3 linked regions of the Drosophila melanogaster genome follow. The gene in region 2 interacts genetically with the main gene of each other region. Each region holds a gene or a part of one and is shown on either strand. Other genes may lie near its edges. The genes, in order: Pdf, wake and Pdfr.

Region 1 (5,336 bases), 3.8 Mb from region 2:
CCATCAGAGTGCGTTTCCAAAAATATAAATCAATAAAAAGCTGTGGAAGCAGCTAAAGCTTTATAACCTATAACCATATGTGTGAGTATCTCAGATATTCCGCACTCAATTGCAAACTGAACTAACTAACATTTACTTTCGCATCCTTTCAGCTTGGCAAAAGCAGTGGCCAGAGCGTTTTCGGGGCATGCGACTTAGTCACGGGTGTGCTGGTAGATGTGCCTCCGCTGCAGCCACATACTGTATGCTAGATTAGCCGTTAATGATTAGCCAAGGCAGTGTACGGCCAGTTAGTTAGTATTTATGCAATAGCAGGCATAGTCATGTAAGTGAAAAGCTACCGAAACTGCATTTTGAGCCGAAGCAAGAAGCATCAACATATACACACATTCGCATATGTTACAATTGTTTTATTAATCGGACCGAAAGGCCAGCGAGAATTGATTGTTTTGTAATTTGAAAATGAATAGAATTGTATACATCATGTTTGTAGTAGTTGCCAACAATTCGATTGTCTAATGTTGTAATTTCAATATGGCATTAACATTTGCATAAATACACACACACATAGTTCAAGCTTAATCAGACATAATGCATACGCATAACTTTTTCTATACAATACTTACCGATTTCAAACAGCGCCAAATGAACTTACACATAAATCGAATCGAGAATCGTTCGATATTTAATATAAATCAGCAACATTGATTAACATAGTTATATATCTTATAAGAAAAATATATATATTGCCGTCATTTAAACGCGCCTACAACTGTTTTCCTGCGGCGGGTAAACATCGAATTGGAAGCAAACAAGTTAAGCAAAATGTGGCGTGCAAAATTTGTTTTTGCTGATTTTCAATTGTATTTCGCTATTTACTTATCATCTGCGGATATTTGTTATTGTCTGGCGTAGAAAACTTTCGTATATATAAAGGCCTCTAAAGCCTCGTCTTATACATTCACGATTCTTGCAAAGCCGCACAATGAAGCTAAGCACTTATCTATTGGCGCTCGTCCTATTCGCCGGATTCTGCCTGCTGCAGCCTTCCTCAGCCCAGACCAATTCCACCACATCCACCAACACCACAACCACGGAGGCAACCACAACCACCACTGCCAAGGCCACAACCGTTCATAGGAAACATTTTACGATCCGTAATCTCCACTATAAGACAGTGCGCAGGATCCATGTTAACAAGAAATCTGGTTAATAAGATCTTTAGCTTACCAAACAATGGCGAATAAAAAATACCTAAAGAAAACACATTTCTAATAATGGGCACAACAATTTATACTTCTACATACAGATCTTTTTGTCTTTCTGTTTATAAGTGTGTTTTTTATGAACATACTTTAGTTCTCATTTAGTTTACTTTCTACGCATTTGTTTGCCAAGTTCATGGCCAAGTTCCTTAGGTTTTGACTGCTTAGATATAGCATAATAAATGAAGTCAATAAACGAAATGGGGCTGCTATTCTAAGCTAGAAACATCTATTTATTCCAATCGTAGCATTGAACAAAATCTACTTTGAGAACACCTTTGGCTTTCATTGGTTCGCCCTTTACGGGGATAACCAATATCTTTAACTAGCTTTAGTATCTGTGATTAAGAATAAAAATCCTGACTAGTTGTTGTACCAGATTTCAAGTCGAAACAATCCAGAAAACGTTTATTTCAGCAGTAAGCCTAATAATATACAACATTTCTACAATAGGCTACTTGTATATTTTTCTATTTAGGTTTAAAGCAACAAAAGTTATACGGTCTTTTCTCTCTATTAGATGACTACACCGGCTTTTATCTGCGGATTTTCATTTTCCTTCGACGCACCAAAAAATCATACTATAACATCAAATAATAAATTCTTGTCCAGGTTCCATCTTTCAGTGGTGGGTCGTCCTAATCCTTCAGCATTTTCCGTTCTTACTTGCCCGCATCGTTCATGTTCTTGGGCAGACTCAACAAGGAGTTGATTAGCTCCGAGTTGCGCTTCCTGATGGGCACGGATGGGCCCAAGGAGTTCTCGAGGATCAGCGGATAGCGACAGAGAGTGGCCACTTGGCCGGGACTGAACTGTCCCACGCCCACGTTGTTGAACCAGTCGAGGAGATCCCGATTGTACTCCTTGCGCACATAGCGCTCCTCATCCGGCATGGCCATGGCGCCGCAGTATCCCCACTGGCAGCAAATGGCCAGAAGCACAAGGGCGACAAGGTACGTGTAGCGAGCCATTAGTCCGAGGAGCTGGAAGGATGGCCAGGAGCAGGAACTGAGCACGGAACACCTGCAGCAGGAGACTTGCGAATGAACGTCGGTTGGCGCATCCTCGACTTATATAGCAACCTGGACTGGATAACCCACTGCGGGAGACCGCCCGACCACGCAACCCAAGAGCGTCAGTATCGGTGTCATCCGCAGGACCAATACATGTCATCCGCAGGCAGCGGCGGTCCTTTAGCCCAGGCAAATACGGAGTCGAGTTGGAGCCACGCAAATATTTGGTTATGCAGTGTTTTATGTGCCAACATGCAGGCACCAAATCCCATTCAAGTCCAGCGATATTTGTACGGGAAGGCAGCTCACTGGCGACTCCATGTGGCACTCAAAAAAAAGGAGGATACCCAATTTAGGCACTTCTTTAAACCAACTTATTTATTGGATTTAAATAATATACGATTGCAGACAAAATTGCTGACCTTCCATTAAAACGAACCTTATTTGTGAATAATATTTTGCTCAATTCGTTTTCTCTCTGTGTAATTGTGTGATTAATTTTAGAACGAAGCTCGTAAAAATACCAATCTTAAATATATATAAAACTTAATAGCTAGCTCGGCAGTTGGGCCGTTTTGCGAAATTCCAGCTTGTTCCTTTGTTTGATCACCAAACTGTGTAAATATGGCCAAAAAATTTCGCGCGGACGTAATTGGCGAGAGCAAAATGCAAATATTTGCTGAGAAATTCCGCCAATTGTCTTGGTCACATATAAAACTCCCAGCCTCCGAAGTGGTAGTTCATCCGAGCAACGGCATCACCGAGCACACCATGAAGACAGGACAACTGGCACTCCGAATCCTAGCGATAAGCCTATGCATTTGGGCAACCAACGCCTCATCGCCAACCACCACGGAGACTACGACGACCACGACGGACAGTGACACCACCACCACGACGACAGCAGCCACCACGACCACCACCACCGCGTCCTCCTCCTCCTCCTCCTCCTCCTCGAAGGTCCATCGCAAGCGGTTCAGGATCAAGAACCTCAAGTACTCGATTAAGCGCAGGGTGCGCGTCTACCGTGACACCAGTGCCAGTTCCACTTCCAGGAACAGGACCAGGAATCGCTCCGGAAGGCGGGTCAGTGTGCGCAGCCTCAATAGGCTGCTGCGACGCCGCAATCAGGGCTAGGTTCCAAAATCCACATCAAGTCATATCCATACATGCAATAAAAGCAATTTTCCAAAAAAAAAAAACATCTGAGTATTTAAAACCATAAGGATAATAGAAAGGTCAGTACTAGAACGTGTGAAAAGCGAAGGATTCCCCAATGGTTGTTGCACATGTCGTATGCGTAATATATGCCAAATTACTTACCTTATTTGAAATTTTCTTTGTTCCCATCAACAGGTTGCCCCTTCTAGCATGGCTGTGCCCAGTCACACAACGCACATCATCCTTTATTTATGCCTGTTCAATGACTTCACGTGCGGCAAAAACATTGACCCAACTCCGCCCCCCAACCAATGGGCAAACATCGGATATATCTCGACGGGGTAGGTTTACGATGACTATAACTTTCCATGCAGCCACATTACCCAGCAGTTTGATGGCCAAGGCTCGGCGTCGTTCACTCCGACGATTTGTTTGCACTGCATTTGTGGCCAGACCCAAAATCCGGTGGGTGGAACGCGGACTCCGCGTTTATCGTCCACCGTTTGCCGTCTTAAAAGTCAGCTGAAGCATTTAATGGTCGTGGTGTGACTTGGAGGCACACATAAGTGAAACACGCATGGGTTCGATTTCGGTTGGGAAGACATTTCCAGGAGCGTCTTGGTCACATCAGAGTATAGAAAGTAAATGAAACTTAATTTCCCATATATTAAAATGGAAAAAAAAGGTTTTAAAATATATTAAGAAAGTTATTATTAGCTAGAATTTATTTAAGATCCATATTTTTTACTCTCTCCTTACTATGAAGAATCTTTACTTTTCGGTCTGCAGTTCGTCCCTGGACAAGCCGAAGATGATTCGTCCTGAACGCACACACAGGACATCGGGACGGGGGTCCGTGGCCATTCACCAATTACGCGCCATTCGCGGCTGTGTCCTTAATTTCTTAAAAAGCGTTTAAACATCTAATGAAAGCATTTGGGACCCCGCGATTTCTGCTGTCAGTTGCGTTTACCTTTTCGCCGTGTGCGGTTCGCTTCGTCGGTTCGGGTCGATTTGGTGGTATTCCTCGGTCCTGATTATCCGAGCTGCAGGAAGCGAGCACGAGAGGATTATGTCATTGCAGCCATGGCCAAGATAATCTCGACGATCAAGGCCATCCTCACGAGGATCATCTTCAGTGCGCACAGCCTGCTGGCCATTTGGCAGGTGGTGGCTTTAAAGAGTGATATCATATACTGGGCACTATGTGGACCACTGCTGTTGCTGCTGCTCGAGGGCATCTTCACCATCATGATCAAGAAGACGCAGGAGTGGCGCTGGTAAGGATGAAACCCACGGATCCTGGCTACCCCAGGCATCTGATTAAAACTCCCAACTCGAAATGTAAACAACAGTCAGTCGATGCTGACGTCATGCCGCGGGGTTTTGATTTTCAATTAAAAGTGAAATCATGTGTTTAATGTGTGCCTAACCTGGCCACCCACTTTCATAGAAACCACCAACACTGCGGCCGCACCCCCACACTCAAAAAAAAAGTAGCCACGATTTCCAAACAACACAATGTAGTTTACATAGGATTTTTGGATAAAAATATGCATATGAATTGAATCTAGAAATAGGAAATCCTATGAATTTTGTATCTTAAAGCCAATTTGTATTATCATTTCGGGGTGTACTTTTTTTCAAGTGTAAGCTGTCCACCTCACACTTTGTACTAGTAAAAACTTTAATGGAATTTCGTGGGGGATGGAGTCTTTTTGACTCTTGTTTACCTTTCGTCGCATCACTCAGACTTGTTGTTTGTTTTGGCCGTTCGGCTGTGCCACCTCATTTGTGTCCTTTGTCCGCAGGTTCTGCCCCTCGGTTTTCCTCTACCTGAGCAGCATTGTGCCGGCGATATGGCTGCTGGAGCTGGACAAGGTAGCACGTCGGGTGG
Region 2 (6,777 bases):
CAGGGTAAAAATCGTAGAAAATTCGTAGGAAAATTTCGGATTTCAGCGTAAGGCCGATTGCAAAAGCAAGTGCTGCCAGCACAAGTTTCACATTGATGATTTACGATGCGTCTCCGCTGGGCAACCGAGGCCATTTCCCCAGCCAGGTGGCACAAATCAATGGGCAACGTTACCAGCTTTTCCTGCCATTGTCTTACCGCCGCGCCGCAGATCCCGGGCGCAATCCAATGCACATCCCGGGCATTAATCAAGCACAAAAGTGGAGCAGACAGAGCAACCGAATTGGTAATAAGAACTGCGATAAGCCCCAAGGATATCATACTAATGGTTTGGCGGGGGATAAAGGTCCAGCGAAATGTGCCACCTTCGATTCCGCGCTGCTTGAAATTGCTAATATCTAAGCCGGAAATTGCGAGAATTTCACTACCTTTTCACTTAGCTGTCATCTTTAATTAGCAGCCTTAATTAAAAGTATCAACGAGAGAGAGAGCGTGTAATTAAAAGCGAACCGCAACAAAACAAAGGCACAGCAAAATGTCATTCTAATTGCCGTACGCAATTCATATTGCATAAAAACCAGAAATAAATAAAAGAACCCAGCATTGGCCTATGAATATAAATTGAAAGTGAAATGAAGAGCAAGCAAAAAAAAAAAGCAGGGAATGTAAATAAAGCGTTTGTATCAATTAAAACGAAGGCCGGTCGTTATGAAATGCTAAGAGAAAAGCAATAAAAAGCAATAAAAAGCAAATATAGTGACTAAATAAATAATATTTTTAGAAGCTTACATTGTTTTCATTTTTGTTGTTAACCAAAAATTGGTTGGTTACGAAAATATAGGCAATATTCTACAATTTAGAACACAATTCTTTGAACATCATTTTGCTAGAATTTAGTCTGACTGCTAAATGAAACTGAAATTGCAAATTAGATTGCCAAAAATAAGCCAAAGGCATTTTTACATACATCACATTGTATTCATGCAAAGTGCGCGTCAGCTGCAGCAATCTTCATTAATTGCATTGCAATGAACGTTGGCATTTTCGCACATATGCCAGGGCAAAAAAGGCCAAGAAATGTCAGCCAGGCCAAACACAGCCATATGCAATATGCACACGTATAGTCGGAATTCTCGGAACGCATCGCCTGCAACGTCATTGTCATGAAATGCTTAAATTTATTGAGAGCATGCCACATATAGTATATACAACAACGTCCTTGTCCGGCACTTGGTATAATATCAGAACTCCTTGTTTATATTTTTAGTGGCAATACCAATTAATCTTAGTTGTCAAGAAGCCGGGCGCCCAGAAATAGCAATGTTATATATATATATATGTATATATATGTATAGGTAAGTATTTGTAAGTACTTGGTTCTTGCCTGTAAAATTAAGCACTTAATCATCGCTTGCAGATTTAATTAAATGCAGCATAATAGCAATTCAGGGAACAGGCAGCGATATTAATCATACGCCATGTTGTCAGCTTTATGAAATGCCTGCATAAATCTCTGCCAAGCCGCAGAATGCATTCTGCTGTTAAAAAAAAAAAATGCATGTGTGGGCGCTTGCTGTTGGCAAATTGTTTCAAATGTGCGCAATTTAAACGAAATTGAGAAACCAAAAGCGGAAAAATAAAGGACGAAGCAAACGTTTTCGGTCAGCCTTTTCCTTTTGACAAATTTGAACAAAAGCCAAAAAAAAAAAAAAAACCCCTCCAGAAACCCCAGCAGCATTAATTTCTGTGAGTTCTGTAATAAACTGGAGTATACGAAAAAATAACCACGACAGCTAAAAAGGGGAAAAATTTGGGGCAAAAAGGAAGTAAACAGCAGCGCGAACAAATGGCTCGTTTGGCTAACCTTTTCTGTTTGGCTGCCCTGCATTGCTTTTGTTTATAGAAAAGTTTAAATTGTGTCAATTTTTTGCTTTTTTGGCGCTCGCGCAATGCAGAAAGTTTGGGAAACAAATGAAATGTGGGTAAAAACAATTTCCGAAATCGCGACAAGGACGGCGACTTAGGACCCACAAAAAGTGTGGGTATGATAATGCCACAAAAAAAAAAAAGAGTATATTCTAAGATGTCAGGGGTGAAAGTTGGCATTCCAGTGAAAATTGCGTATTTTCCTATTAATTTTCCAGTGAGACGTTTACGAATTAAATCCCTAAGCGGATAGAATGGCGGATTTTCATCAGGTGCAGCTGGATGTCATAGACACAAAGCTTGCTATCAGCATAGTTTTACTGCTCTTTACGGTTCACTGCGATTCAGTGAAGCGAAAATATTTACTTTTTTGTTGAAATATTGATGACATTGGTCAGATTTACCATTTGAGCACACACAAACATGAATGCGAGCAGTGAACTTTGACACTTTTGTACATATATGGAAAAAATTCAATCAAAGTTTTCCATTTTATTACTGTATATTAATAATATTCTTTAATATACGATCCAATGAAATGCTTTCATGAGCCCCAATTATAATCAAATAACAAAACACTTAGCAAACAATGGTGACATTAATAAATTCACAGGACATTCATCAATCAAAAATCAGTTCGATCGATATTATTAACCCTTAAATACATTAAACTTTCGGTAATGACTGAGGTGCTTCCGTCGATTCCCATCTTCGAGGGGACATAATTTATTGATTTATGTATTCAGTCCATTTGGGAAATTAGGTTTCAATCATTTCCAATTGATTTCTTCGTCGCAATTGAGAAACTTTTCCTGCCAACTTTCAGCAGCAAAATAGTTGGACAAAACAGGCGAAAAGTCGGTTGGTATGGGAATGCAAAATGCTCGGCATCTCCTAGTGGCTAACAAAATCCACTGCCAAACTAATTTGTGGCCAAAACTATGTGAGAGGCGAGCAGGAATGAAGCATGTGCCAAAATAATACAATAGAACCAACTGAAACTTACTTGGGCTTAGTTGAAAAGAAAACTTTCGCTAGCCAAGAAATTAAAGTGAAGTAGGAACTAGACTTCTGGACAATTTACGAGCTCCCATGGGATCGCCAACCGTTTTGGTAACCATGTATATAGCACATATATAGTATGTGCGCGTCGAGTCAGTTTGGCAATATAAATGACGATAAATTAATTATCGGCCGATCAAGTCATTGTCGCCATTAATTATGGGCCCACGATGCACGGCCCAACGGCCTTTTAATAGTTTTTCACACGCCCACGGGACTCAGGACCTTCGGCAATTAGGATGTGAGGTAGATGGATGTGAGGTAGATGGAGATGAGGAGATGAAATGAAATATGGCGTGAATGGGCCGAGGTTTTATGACAATGTTTGCTGCCTGAATAGCGCGGCAGCATCGTCTGGGCCATGAATTTAATGCGCTGCAACAGTTAATGATTTTATTGGCACTCCAGTCGCAACTTGGCCACATCTTTGGGCAGAGACCGGGAATCGGGGACAGCGGATTGGTGTTAGAATCCTCGTAAACAGTCGGGCTGGAATTTATGACTTGGTCTCATGAATATAATCAATGTCAAGAGCGACGCCAAGTGTCGTCTGGGGATCGCACTTGCCGCGCTCTCGAATCCATTCCCCGCAAGAAATCTGAGTGCCCTGACCAGACGCAGACGAATCCGGATGAGCCGTAAACGAAGACGGGCAAATCGCTCGCCTGGCTTAAATGGCATTTCAATTTGGCACTTCCGTTTCCGCAACATCCCACCCCCATTGCTTTCTATTGGCTTTCTATTCTTTGTCCGTAATGTCCTTGCCAACATTTCAATTGGTTCAACACTGGCTGACTGGGGTCACTTCTGCAGGTCTTGCTACGGATAATCCTTAAACATTTCAGCGTTAGAACTTCGAACACTTCGATCCGTTTACCAATAACATTTTACATTTCACTCGAGCAATTTAACTGCTGTTTTCGGGTTCAAAAACTAATTCAACAGCGGTTCTGGGTGCGCGCGTTCAACCAATGCGTTTGAAAGTCCCAATGTAACTGAAACGGCGTGGGCCAAACACAAATAACACGCTACGCAGATGTAAGCTCACCGGAAGGACTTTAAAGGACGAGCGTTCGGAGCTTTTATTTAAATCGAAAAGTAACTGACGGCAGTGGGATGTGACAAAAGTTCGTTGCTATGCAACGAAGGTCAGCCCAGTGTGGCAACGATTGCTTCATAAATTTCAATGAGTCTGGCAGCCCTGTTTTTATCTAATTCAAATTTGTAAATATCGTTTTTCTATCAATGGTCAATGCCTTCAATATTTGAACAAATCAAATTTTCTCTAGAACTGCTTGTTAAAAATTGTTGACATTCTGCAAAACTTTAACAGTAATTACTAAAAATATGGTGTGTCAAAGTGATCGATGTTTCACAAAAGGTATGTAATATCGATAGTATCGAGTAAACATTTTAGTGTGTTCCATCTCTAATCATAGTTACGCTTGCGCATTGTAGACATAATTTTAATTACCGATTTACACACAATTAATTGCTACAAATATGCCTGATAAAGTTACAACGATGTTATTAACCGCGTGAATATGAGGTAGCACCCAAAGAAGAGTTAGTTATCAATTAATTAGAGGCCTAGAAAAGTGTAACAAAATACGCCTGGCCATTGGTGCGCATGTGTGTGTGCCATTGATTACATAGTTGGCATAGGCGACGCACGGGTGCGAGCGAGAGGGGGCATCATCCAAAAAGGGGCGCAACAGAAACCGCATTCCATTTCCAGAAATCCAGGTTGCAGCTTCCATCCATGAGAAAGGTGCGTACAAATGTCCAGATGTGGGTTAAGATTGGCCAGTACTCCTCATCATTCGTTTTCTCCACACAGTAAGCGCCATGCACCACCATCATCCGCCTTTGCCCATAACCGGAGCAAGTGGCTCCACAGCCGTGGGAACGGGAGCAGCTGCAGCGGAGGATGCATCACCTGCTGCGAATAGTGGGCCCGCCCCCATAAGCACCTCAACCACGCCTTCGGGATCCAACAGCCAGCAGCATCAGCGACGTCGCAAGAAGCGAGCCAACTACAACTACAATGGCATCCGCACCGTGGAAGTGCGACGTGGTTACAATGGCTTCGGTTTCACCATTTCCGGGCAGCAACCATGTCGGCTGTCTTGCATCATCAGCAGCTCACCTGCCGAGCAAGCTGGCCTGCGTTCCGGTGACTTCCTCATATCGGTCAACGGTCTAAATGTCTCCAAGTTGCCACACGAAACAGTGGTGCAGCTCATTGGCAACTCCTTTGGCAGTATTCGCATGCAGATCGCCGAGAATTATTATTCCGACAGCTCGGATGAGGAGAACGCCCATGCCACGCTGAGGGGTCAATTGTTGGCAGCCAGTTTGAGGCACAAGCCCAGGTTTCTACACCACAAAGCCAAACTGCACAGATTGCGCAACTCGCCACAAAAGAAGCTAAACCCACCAGAGGCAGTGGAACCGCACAAATCAAAGTCATCACCCGATCACCCTACATTAAAACCCGTTCTGGAGGATCCGCCTCTGACAGCCAATCTATCCAAAGCAGCGGATGTGGCCAATGTAAGTGCCATGGTGCGAGCTGTGGGCAGTGCTGCACTGGAGTGCCGTGTTATTGTTGGCTATCTGGGAACCATCGAGATGCCCAAGCAGATCTCGCATAGTTCCAAGCTGCAGACAGTTCGATCTTGCATTCGAAAACTGAGACAGGAGAAGCGACAGCCCACCATTGTGCTGATGTGCATCACGCCGGACAGCTTGAGCCTGCAGAGTTCCAGCGGCGGAGTGCTGGCCACCTACTCCTCGGCCAGGCTGAACTTCGTGAGCTCTTCGTCGGAGAGCGAGAATCGATTCTTTGGTCTGGTCACTAGCGCCGTGCACAACACACAGATCGAGGAGGAGTACGAGCCGAGCGCTGGCAGCGCAGCAGCTGCTGGTCACATCAGTATCTCGCACAGCTGCCATGTCTTCGTCATCGACACCAAGCTGATCGAACATGCACAGCATTTGCAGCGGGCCCACGAGTTCCGCCTGCAGTGCACCCGGGATCCGATCTCGAATTTGTGTCTCGAGTTCCCTAACAACTCGGAATATGTGGTGAATCTCGTGCGCAGCATGTATACCATGCGGATTCTCCCACCGGCAAGTCGGAGTCATCAGGCAGACTATGAGGCGGGTGCAGGAGCCGCCGCAGCTGGAGGAGCAGTAGCAGCTGCCCACTCGCCGCAGCCATCGAACCACAGCGAGATCTCCACCACCACGTCCAATTCGGATTCGGGCATTGGCTTCAACAACGATTGTACGAATATTTCGGATCGCATTCTGGTTGTGGACTTCCTAGCTGCAGGAGCGGGAGCAGCGGCGGCGGCACATGCAGGACCACCAACTTATCCAGCTCCTGCTCGTCCACTGGGCATAGTGGGAATACCGGATAATCGACTGACTGTGCGGGCCATGCCCGATCATTCCGCCCTGCTAAGATCGCCGCCAGCGAGCTCTTCGCTTCGTCGACCCAATCTCCTGGCCAGCTTCAATCTGATCCAAAGTCCCGCCACGAATCTCACATCCACCCGCTCCTGTGATGATGTCCTTAATCTTTTTGTCGACGATTCACCGCGCACTTTGGCTGCCGTGGCCTCTATGGATGACATTTCGCTGCACTCGGCTGCTCCATCGCTCGATGAGGGCCACACGTTTGCCCATCCAGCGTGTGTGCCCCGCAAGATGCGCAGATCGTTGGCTCTGGAGACGCCAACAACGCCACACAAGCTGAGTGCCCAGGTATTTGGTCAACCTG
Region 3 (9,070 bases), on a different chromosome or scaffold from region 2:
CTGTTGTGTTTGTGAAATCTGTAGTCAAGTATTCAGTAAAGGTGACAAGTATTCAAAAGGTAGGCAATTAGAGTGGTCATCAGAACCAAAAGTAGGGTATCCCACAATCTTCGTGTGTTGAATACTATCCCACACACTATCTGACCCGTATTATTCATACGGGTCATACGGTATTCATTCATTCATCAAATATTCATTTGATGATCCATCAAATCATCGGATTAAGCTGCTTATGGGATGAAATTGCCAATTTAGCCATGCCAATTGGGGGATTCACGAGCGGCACGTGCCTATCCAAAAAAAAAAAATTAGGCAAACCTAATGGATCCCGAGCCCGAGTCCGATCCCAAATCCAGATGAAGAACGTAGACGATAGCCGAGTGCAGTTTAGATGTATGCATATAAAATCATGTTTATTCATTTTCCATCTAGCCTTATACACGTAATAGTTTGACATTGACGACCACTGGGGTTCTGGTTCTTAGGTTCCTCTCTTTTTAAATTCGGCTTGAATTCTTAGTTTCGAAATAGCGTGAAGCGAGTAGGAAACCAAAACTAAATGAAAACAAACACGATTCCACACACAAGATATTCCATTTAAAATGCATTGTAAGCTTAAAGCTAGGGTGATGAATATTCGACATTCGCACTGATCGCAGATCAGATGATGTGACATCGTGATTCCTTCAATCCGTTTGTTTCTGTTTGTTCCTCGTTACCATTCCATGTGCTTTGTACTCTCGTTATATGTGGTATACATACATATCTATGTACATATGTATATACTCGTATTATATGTACGAACTACTCTCCGACATTTTTCTGCTGCTTGCATCCGTGTAAATAACAGGTATGTAAATATGTATGCTTTATCTATGCTCTTGTAAATACCGTTACATCTATGTATGTATATTGAGCTTATTTAGAAAAAAAAAGATTAACAGTTACATTCATCAGCGCACTTCTTACACATGTGCAAAAAAAACTGTGGCCCAACTGCTGTTGGTAAATATACAAAAATATAGGATATATGTATGTATGCGTGTGTGTGTGTCGTGTATCGATCGATATCCGACTTATCGAACTCGCTTCTTGCAAAGAGAGCATACTTCGCGGCATTTTAGTTTTAGTTTAAGAACAGTTGCGCCTGCGGATGGGCGTGAATATTGTGTTTCGGTGTGTGTTGTTCTGAGTGTTGCTGGTGTGAGCGGTAAAGAGAGCGAGATGCACTAGGCTTTCGGCATTTGTATTTGATGGCTCTTTGAAATCGCTTTGGCTTTCGCCTTTGACTTTGTCATCGTCGCGATGGTTGCAATGGATGCTATTGTTGTTTTGGCTGCCGTTGTTGTTGTTGATGTTGTGGTAATTGTTGTTGCTACCGCTGCAAGCGTCGACGTCGGCGGCATTTGCGACGTCATGAATATTTGCTGCGTCTTTTGCGAGCCCGGCATCACACATTTGTCCTGCGAACGAAAGGCGAGAAAGAAGAAAAAGAAAACGAAAACGAGAAGAGTCCGCCAAGAGAGCCGCATTTTGAGTGGGAAACAAGGAGGAGAGAATAGCCGAAAAGATATTTATTGCATTTATGTGTCTCCGATTATGGACCCCATTAGTTAAATATCGATTGTGGCAAAGTTTTTGTTGCACAACAAAGCGCAGCTAGCAAAATTCAAGGCAGTTGCAGTGAACGTGATCGATTGTAGCTGGCAGTGTGACCAGCTCAGGAACGGAAAGTGTAAGCTAATCAAAGTGGTAAAGAAAATGTAAATACAAGTAAACCCAAATCTTAAAACTTAATAACGGAATCCGATGAACAGCAAGTTCAACAGTTGATTAAAGGTGAGTTCCTTTAAACAATGTCACTTTTCAATTATGTTATGTAATAAGTTCTAATGGCTCACAAAGCCTGGCCACACTGCGCAGTTACCGCAAGTTTGTGTTAATTCACTTAAATATTTCAATCTAATATTTAAATATGAATAGTAGAAGTAAAAGAACATGCCGCTGAAGTTTTGCTGAAAAATTCATCGAGTAAGAACCGTGTGCGAGTGTTTTTGAATGTATTTGCGTGTCCAGAACAGAAGGTGACGCTATTGGAAATTTATTGTCATCAAAAATATTTTGTAAAACTTGTAGGGAAATTTGAATTTTCGTAGGATTAGCCGATTTCGAAAGGATAGGAGATTTCTAGATTTTGGAAAGGGTTTGGATATGGCTTACACAAATAAAGGTATGTATGTATTTACATAAGTACAGTGGAGCAAGAACCGAAGGCAAGCGAAAATAACTATTTAAATTAAATGTCTATTGGTTTAATTTGAATTACAAAACAATGAGCTTACTTTCTGTTCAAAATGATCTTGGGTATAAGAACTGCGATATTTTGTTGGGGTATTTTACATATGTGCTGTTTCCAGCTGGCTTGCTTGGTGGGTCGATGGGAGATGCAGGAATAGTCGGGTTCTGGGTTATCTTTGGGATCATTTCCGGTCCGATTGTGTGGGTGCTGGCTACTGTGGTGGTGGGCTACATGGCGTTGGCTACTTCTACGGCTATTTGGCTACGGCTATGGCTACATCTATTAGTTAGGCTAGGTTTTGGTCTACTGCTCTGACAACTCAAATACAACTGACTCGGGTGGCACGGATGACGCTGACGGTACTCTTAGTACCTTTTGACCCCGGAAGCAGATGCCCATTATCCACTTGGAGCCGCGAGTTCGCGATCTCGCGCTGCCCGCCTCCTTGCTGTGAATGTGGGAGATGGTCGGATCCGGCTCCGCTTCCGCATCCGTCTTCTCCACCCGGTCCTTGCCCTTTTCCCGCGCCTTGTTTTGCAGCCGGGGCATCAGTCGCTGGCGCTGTTGAGGCTCGTGAATCATCACAATGCTGGCACTGCTCGGCTTTCTTCCATTCAGCCTTTTATTCGGCGGTGATATTCTGGGAGTTTTAAATTGATGTAAGGAGTTTCAAGGTGGGGTGTGCACAAAGCGGATGCTTACCGCTTTCCAGTGGCCGATGGATCTCCTGCAGGCTGCACTGCATCCGTATCCGGCGCCGTGTTATAAGCACCCGAGTACATAGATGCCCTTTTCGGCGCCCATTCCGGATGACCTCGCACCGACAGCTGGGTGGCCAGACTCTTTAGTAGCACGGCACGAACCTAAAAAATATATATTTTGGTTGGAAATAGTGAGGGTTTTAGGCAAATGGACAACTGAGTGACTTGATGTCTTACCTCGCCATTTAGAAAGCAGTAAATTAGCGCTATAAAAAATCCCTGAAACGAGGTGAGAAAGTGGGTGCCATACGACCAGACCGCGAAGTTCGTGGCCGTTTTCAGAGGAGCCAGCTGGTGCAGGAGATTGGTTATACCCAAAAGTGGTAGTAGGACTATAGCCGCTCTAACTGCCTTGCGAGTCTGTTCTATATCGCTGGCCTGCGATTGACGCAGCTTCATTACCAGCACTCGGATAATGTTCACCAGGAAACAGAAGTTTAGCTGCATGCGGATGTTTTCAGTTGGGTGAATAGGTGATTAAAGCGATCAACAGTTGATATTACCCACCAGTATGACCGCTAGTCGTGGCCCCTCGAGGATCCAGTAGTAGGGCGTGAGATTATAGTTCCACAAGCATTCGCCCAGCGAGGTGTCCATATACATGACCGTGCATCTCGCCCACACGGTGGTCATCAGAATGGGCACACACCAGCCGAGTCGCGAGAAGAACTTGAGGGGAAAGCTGCCCTGGAAAACGGCCACGGTGACCATGTTGTGCAGGTAAAGGCCCTCGATGAACATCCACATGAACATGGCGGTACGAGCGTACTCCAGAAGTACATAGGATGCTTCGCACAAATAGGGCTGTAGAACATAACATATAATATCGAACATAAGCCTTATACCTTATCCTTATGCGGGAATATTAAGCCTACCGTGTTCTCAATGACAGAGAGACTCGTGTTGGTGGCCGCCTCCTTGTTTCCCCGCCGGAATTGGTCGAGATACAAGGTCAGGCGAATGATCACCTGCAGCACCATGGCGACGAAAAGATTCTTGTGGATCTTGGTGCGATTGTTTCGCAGCGAGCGAAATGTGCAGAAGATCAGCAGGGAAACTATAAGGGCGAACAGGGAGAGGCAGAGGCCCACGATCTCCAGGGTTCGAGTCCTCCTGGCAATGTCTATGTAGGCCTAAGGGATATCGCAAACCAGTTGGAAGAAATGGAATTAAAACTACTACTATAAACCACTATCAACAAATGTAATCAGGCCTTTGAAATCACTTTTTAGGGTGTCTAAAAAACTTGGAACCCTATTAGGTAATTTCAAAACCATACCCTTGATTTGGGATTTTGGTTGGCATTTAAGCAATGCTCTTAACTATAACTGAAACAGGTATTATGATGTAGTGTGGAAAGAATTCAACTCACATCGAAGTCCTTGCTGCCCATCTGCTGCATGAGACGGATAATCTCCGGCTTGTAACACGGCCCGTAGTCCGTCCATCCCGGCGGATTCACCTCCGTGGCATTTGGCCTGCTGCCCCATCGACCATCCAGCTCACACTTTCGGATGGCGAATTCTGCGAACCGAAAAAGAGGGAGGTTGGGTTGGATTAATGACAGTAATCGAGCTTTGACACACTGACTGACAAGTGCAATTATGCCAATCGAATGGGCGACCGACCTCGTCCAGTTGAAAATATTGGGGCTAAAAATCTAGACACGGCCCGGAGAAATGAGGCCGTAGCTCAACAATGCACTCGAATAATTATTTCTTAACAGATATAGTTCGATATGCCTAGATTTTGCACCACAAGCGCAGATAATACATTCACTAGTGATAATGGAAGAGCATTTTAAGTTTGTAAAATATTGGGTGGTAAGTCAGCTACTTAGAATCTTTTCGCTCAGTGTATATCGCCCATGGTTATTAAATAGCAATTCCCCATTGCAGAACGTTTAATTTATCGGAGGGGTAGAGCAAGCATTTAGGATCGTAATTAAGCAATCGATTGGCTGGTGTTTTAAACCCTGTTCAACTGGCGGAGCTCGAGGGTGCACATGAAACACCTGGACAGCCCCCGGCGATGGAAGCCAAGGAGGGGCGGCCCCGACTGGGAGTGCGGTTGATTGGACGCCCCCAGTCATGCATGTAAATATTGACATCCTTTCGATGAATACGGAATCAAGTAATTGTTTGCCGTGCACCACTTGAACCGTTTCCCAGCTAATGATCCGTATGATTGTGACCGCCAGATATGCCGTGTGGATGGGATAAACACCGTAGGACATGTCTTTTGACTCCTAATAAGCCGGCAGAAGTCATAAAGCTTCTTGTGGCTGCTAAACAGCTAAACAGCTTCAACGATTAATTATGCTAATTGTACTCAGCATGTTCTTTTTCGGCTGCTTTTTTTTTAGAGTGTATTTCAGTTACTTACTGCGCGTATCTACGCCATGAAAGCCGCCAGGACAATTCATCCGTGCAAGGACTCCAGCCGGAGTGGGTGGCCAGCAGAGCAATGTGTCCCAGGTCCAATTGCAGTAGAGTCCTATCCCGGCAACAAAAAAAAAAAAAAAAATACTGCAATATGATTTAAAAGTTATTAGGCTTTAGGTACCTGTTTGTGGTAGGGTGTAATTGACAAAAAGCGCCGAGCAGTTCTCGAAATTGGTGGCCGCTGCCGACGCAAGCGTTAGATTCCAGGGCGCGCTGCTGTTGAGATTACCGAGAACCTGTTCCGTGTCCGAATCGGGCAGTGCGTCCATGACGGTGGGCTCCAGGGCCAATTGGGCCACCCTGGCGACACCGTCGAGGACATACGTTCCCGGCGATTCCGTTGTCGAGGCATCGAAATCGTGCAGTAGTGGCACGCGTCCGGTCGCCAGGCTGTGCGAGGATGTTGGCTCCAGCATGGATTTTGATTCAAATGTTCCGGCCGTCGGTGCAGATGGGGATGGTCCTGATGAGCCGGACTGGCGCAGCAGGCGGGTGAAGCGCTGGGCGGAAATACAGCCTCCGCAGTCGAGAATGTTCGACAGGAGGGTCATTTTGCCATCGACCGCATAGTAAATGTGCTGCAAAGCGAACAATGAACATCGTTGTTATTTACGCACCAGCATTATATCGAGTTATATCGTTCTAAAAAAAAAAAAAAAACAATCCCAAACCCATCAAACTTTGTACGAGTTAAACCCAACCAACCAATGAGTCTGCATGGCGAACACGACCTCCAGAACACGGAGCTTTGTCTTTCGATATTAGCATTGGACCCATGGACATGCATGCATTGGCTGCAATTGAAAATTGATCTCTTTCCATTTCGATTTCGATTTCCGCTTCCGTTTTCGTTTTCGTTTCCGATTTCCGATTTCCCGCACCCATGCGCCCCGTTATCCGGGTCAGATTTAATTGAAAGCTTATCGCACAATGAGACGTACGTCGACCGGTGCCTTTGTTTACCGGATCTTATTCTCGTTGGCAGAGTGCCCGTCGTTAACGCAGTTTATGATTGCCCCTAATAAATACCCGGCTTATTTATAGTCCCGCTGCACCGGAGTGCAAACATCACGCCCACACGCTACGACGCCATATGTATGCACATACATACAATACACATATCATTGGCATTCGCATTCGCATTCGCACTCGTATCACCCACATCGCACCGATTGTCGGGATTATGCCTGGCGAAATGGCAAATGGCCAGGAGCACCACATGCACGCAGAAAAGAAAACAAGTGAGTTGTTTACACATTTCAAATATTTTTGAATTGGGCATTGAATTGCATGGCATTGCAACGATCGCCACATACCAATTTCTTTCTGTGCAGCAGGAAGAGGAACTACGGGCTATGTGATGAATTGTAATTGCAACAACAGTTGCACTAACCCTTTTCCAATTTACGTGTCGGCTCTTTTCGGAGAAGTGTAATCTCTGCACAAGGAACAGATTAAAAATGAGCAGCTAAAACTTTGTATGAAGAACTCAAGGTCCTGCAAACAACTGATGATACGATCGTGCAGACTCGAAAATGTAATGCTTTTATCATTGCACAAATGAGATGGAGTAATTCCCAATGAAAAACAACAGCTTGTTTATCATTTAGTGGCACGTTTTGTGAAAAACAAGATTTCATATTTTAATGACGGCATCACATATTTTCCTCTGCGCAATTTATGGCCAAGGCTAAACGGAATGTAAATTACTTCAATGACAATCGCACACGACAAATTATGATTTCTTCCTGTCTTGGTTGCGTTGCAGCAGCAGCAGCAGCAGCAGCAAATGGCGGCGGAATGGCACAGGAAACACGTTGCCATTCGCTTTTTTTTGCCTCAACTTTTATTTCTTTTTCTTTTTTTGGTTTTTTCACTTCCGGAATTGCGTAAACAAGCCATGCGGAGGACGGTCGTCCAAAGTGGCCAAAGTTGCACATTTTGCTCATGTTGCCCATGTTGCTTGTGTTGCTTGTGTTGCTTGTGTTGCTAAGCTGCCCCAAAAATGCCTTTGAGTGCATTTTATATAATTTCATAAGAATTTCAATTTCGCCAGTAGTCGCTGCACACGAATGCATGCATGCAGGCTATGCTCCACCCACACGCTCACCCACCTCCCTCCCCCCCCTCAGCTATCCATCTCTGCATTTCCGCATTTCCGCATCCCTGGGGGCATTCCACTGGCTTTGTACTGCTCAATATGTATTTTGGTTGCATAAGCGCCAGCGTCAGACGAAGTGCAGCATTAGCAAAAACTTTGCGACTAAGCACTCCCACAGCGCAAAAAATCAACGATATATACGGTATATGTATATATATATATATATTTAAAATATATAATTAAGTAATTAAGATATTAAGCCTTTCGGGAGCCTTGAATTCGCTGCTTATTTACCAATCGATGCTTATCGCCGCAGCGAACCGATTCTCAGCTCGCGCTCGTAATTAAGCTAACTAAGCGCAAAATCCCCTCCAAAGCGACTGAAAAGCCAGTGGCGGGGCCAGGGATTGGAAACGGTTTGGTTTGGCTTGGCTTGGCTTGGCTTGGATTGGATTGGATAACCAACTGGATGGATGCTGGATGCCGCGATTCGGCATCTCCAAGCAGACAACAGACCCTGATTTGGGTCACTTGGCAGCAGTTGCAGCGTGCGGGTTATGGGGTTGAGGGATTAAGGGACCCCTTTAAATACTTGTGCAATTTAAAGTTAGCACCAGTCAGAAACAGAAAGTAACTAAAATTTAATTACATTGAGGAAAGTGGTTTGTTCAACTGCAATTTGTTTGTGTGTAAAGTGTGTACAGAGTAGAGCTTACAAATATTATTGGTAGTTGGTAGTTGGCAATCGAGAAGAGGCTTGTTAATCAAAATGTTCTTGCATATTACATAAGCACATTTTTATATTTATTACGCCCTTGGCATATATTTTTTTTTTTGACTTGAGCAATCCATTTTCAGGCCGATAATTGAACGAGCTCTGGACTCGATTGTTTACAATTTGGAAACCCAAACATGCTGGGCCGTTTGAATAATTAATCAACTTTCTTATTGAACACTCAGCAATTCAATTATTTAACACGCATTGCAATGCCCCAAATAGCTTGTCAATTCCACTTGATGGGTGGATACTCATAGTGGATAGTGACAGGCAATCAGGATTTATGTGAACTTAAATTCGTTAGTGGACGGAGCTTTAAATGTGCAATAAGTGCAATCAGCAATCAACAAGATTATAAAGTAATTTCAGCTGACGTCGCTCGACTTGAAAATTGGGTTGATTGAGCCCCAAATAATGGGCGTGCCCCTTTTGCCGATCGATTGTTTTAACATTTTCATCGGCCCAAGTGCAGTCGAAGTTTTTTGTTTTTTGTTTTTTTTTTTTTCAAATTTTCAAGACTTGGTGTTTTTCTTTTTCGGTAGGCCGGGAAAAATCGCAAAGCCCGGGGAAATTCATCTGCAGGCGTTGAAGCGTGTTTTTTTCCCCGTATATTTCTTTGCCATAATTATGGGGAAAATGAAAGAAAATGAATCTCAAGAGCCGCCATTCAGAGAGACGAAATGCATT

What was found.
Region 1: of wake (region 2) and Pdf, changing one suppresses a phenotype caused by changing the other (phenotypic suppression), as found in Drosophila melanogaster (one study listed by BioGRID).
Region 3: of wake (region 2) and Pdfr, changing one suppresses a phenotype caused by changing the other (phenotypic suppression), as found in Drosophila melanogaster (one study listed by BioGRID).

Annotation. Positions count from the first base shown.
Region 1 is NT_033777.3:26,453,828-26,459,163, forward strand, and holds Pdf (Pigment-dispersing factor), read right to left. Parts: upstream 2,315-5,336; 5' UTR 2,237-2,314; coding exon 1,928-2,236; 3' UTR 1,635-1,927; downstream 1-1,634. Other genes in the region: CG43117 (uncharacterized protein), read left to right, coding at 986-1,213; CG14237 (uncharacterized protein), read left to right, coding at 3,050-3,415; CG14238 (uncharacterized protein), read left to right, coding at 4,526-4,719, 5,251-5,336. UniProt on the Drosophila melanogaster protein: Neuropeptide PDF is the main transmitter regulating circadian locomotor rhythms. Required to maintain behavioral rhythms under constant conditions by coordinating pacemaker interactions in the circadian system.
Region 2 is NT_033777.3:22,636,998-22,643,774, reverse strand, and holds the start of wake (wide awake), read right to left. Parts: upstream 3,968-6,777; 5' UTR 3,865-3,967; intron 1-3,864. Other genes in the region: loco (locomotion defects), read left to right, coding at 4,836-6,777.
Region 3 is NC_004354.4:2,569,986-2,579,055, reverse strand, and holds Pdfr (Pigment-dispersing factor receptor), read right to left. Parts: upstream 6,851-9,070; 5' UTR 6,390-6,850; coding exon 6,210-6,389; intron 6,083-6,209; coding exon 5,626-6,082; intron 5,557-5,625; coding exon 5,446-5,556; intron 4,585-5,445; coding exon 4,433-4,584; intron 4,194-4,432; coding exon 3,936-4,193; intron 3,865-3,935; coding exon 3,568-3,864; intron 3,502-3,567; coding exon 3,238-3,501; intron 3,163-3,237; coding exon 3,002-3,162; intron 2,940-3,001; coding exon 2,603-2,939; 3' UTR 2,051-2,602; downstream 1-2,050. UniProt on the Drosophila melanogaster protein: Receptor for PDF, a neuropeptide controlling circadian behavioral rhythms. Probably regulates circadian behavioral rhythms through coordination of activities of clock neurons. PDF-binding results in the elevation of cAMP synthesis.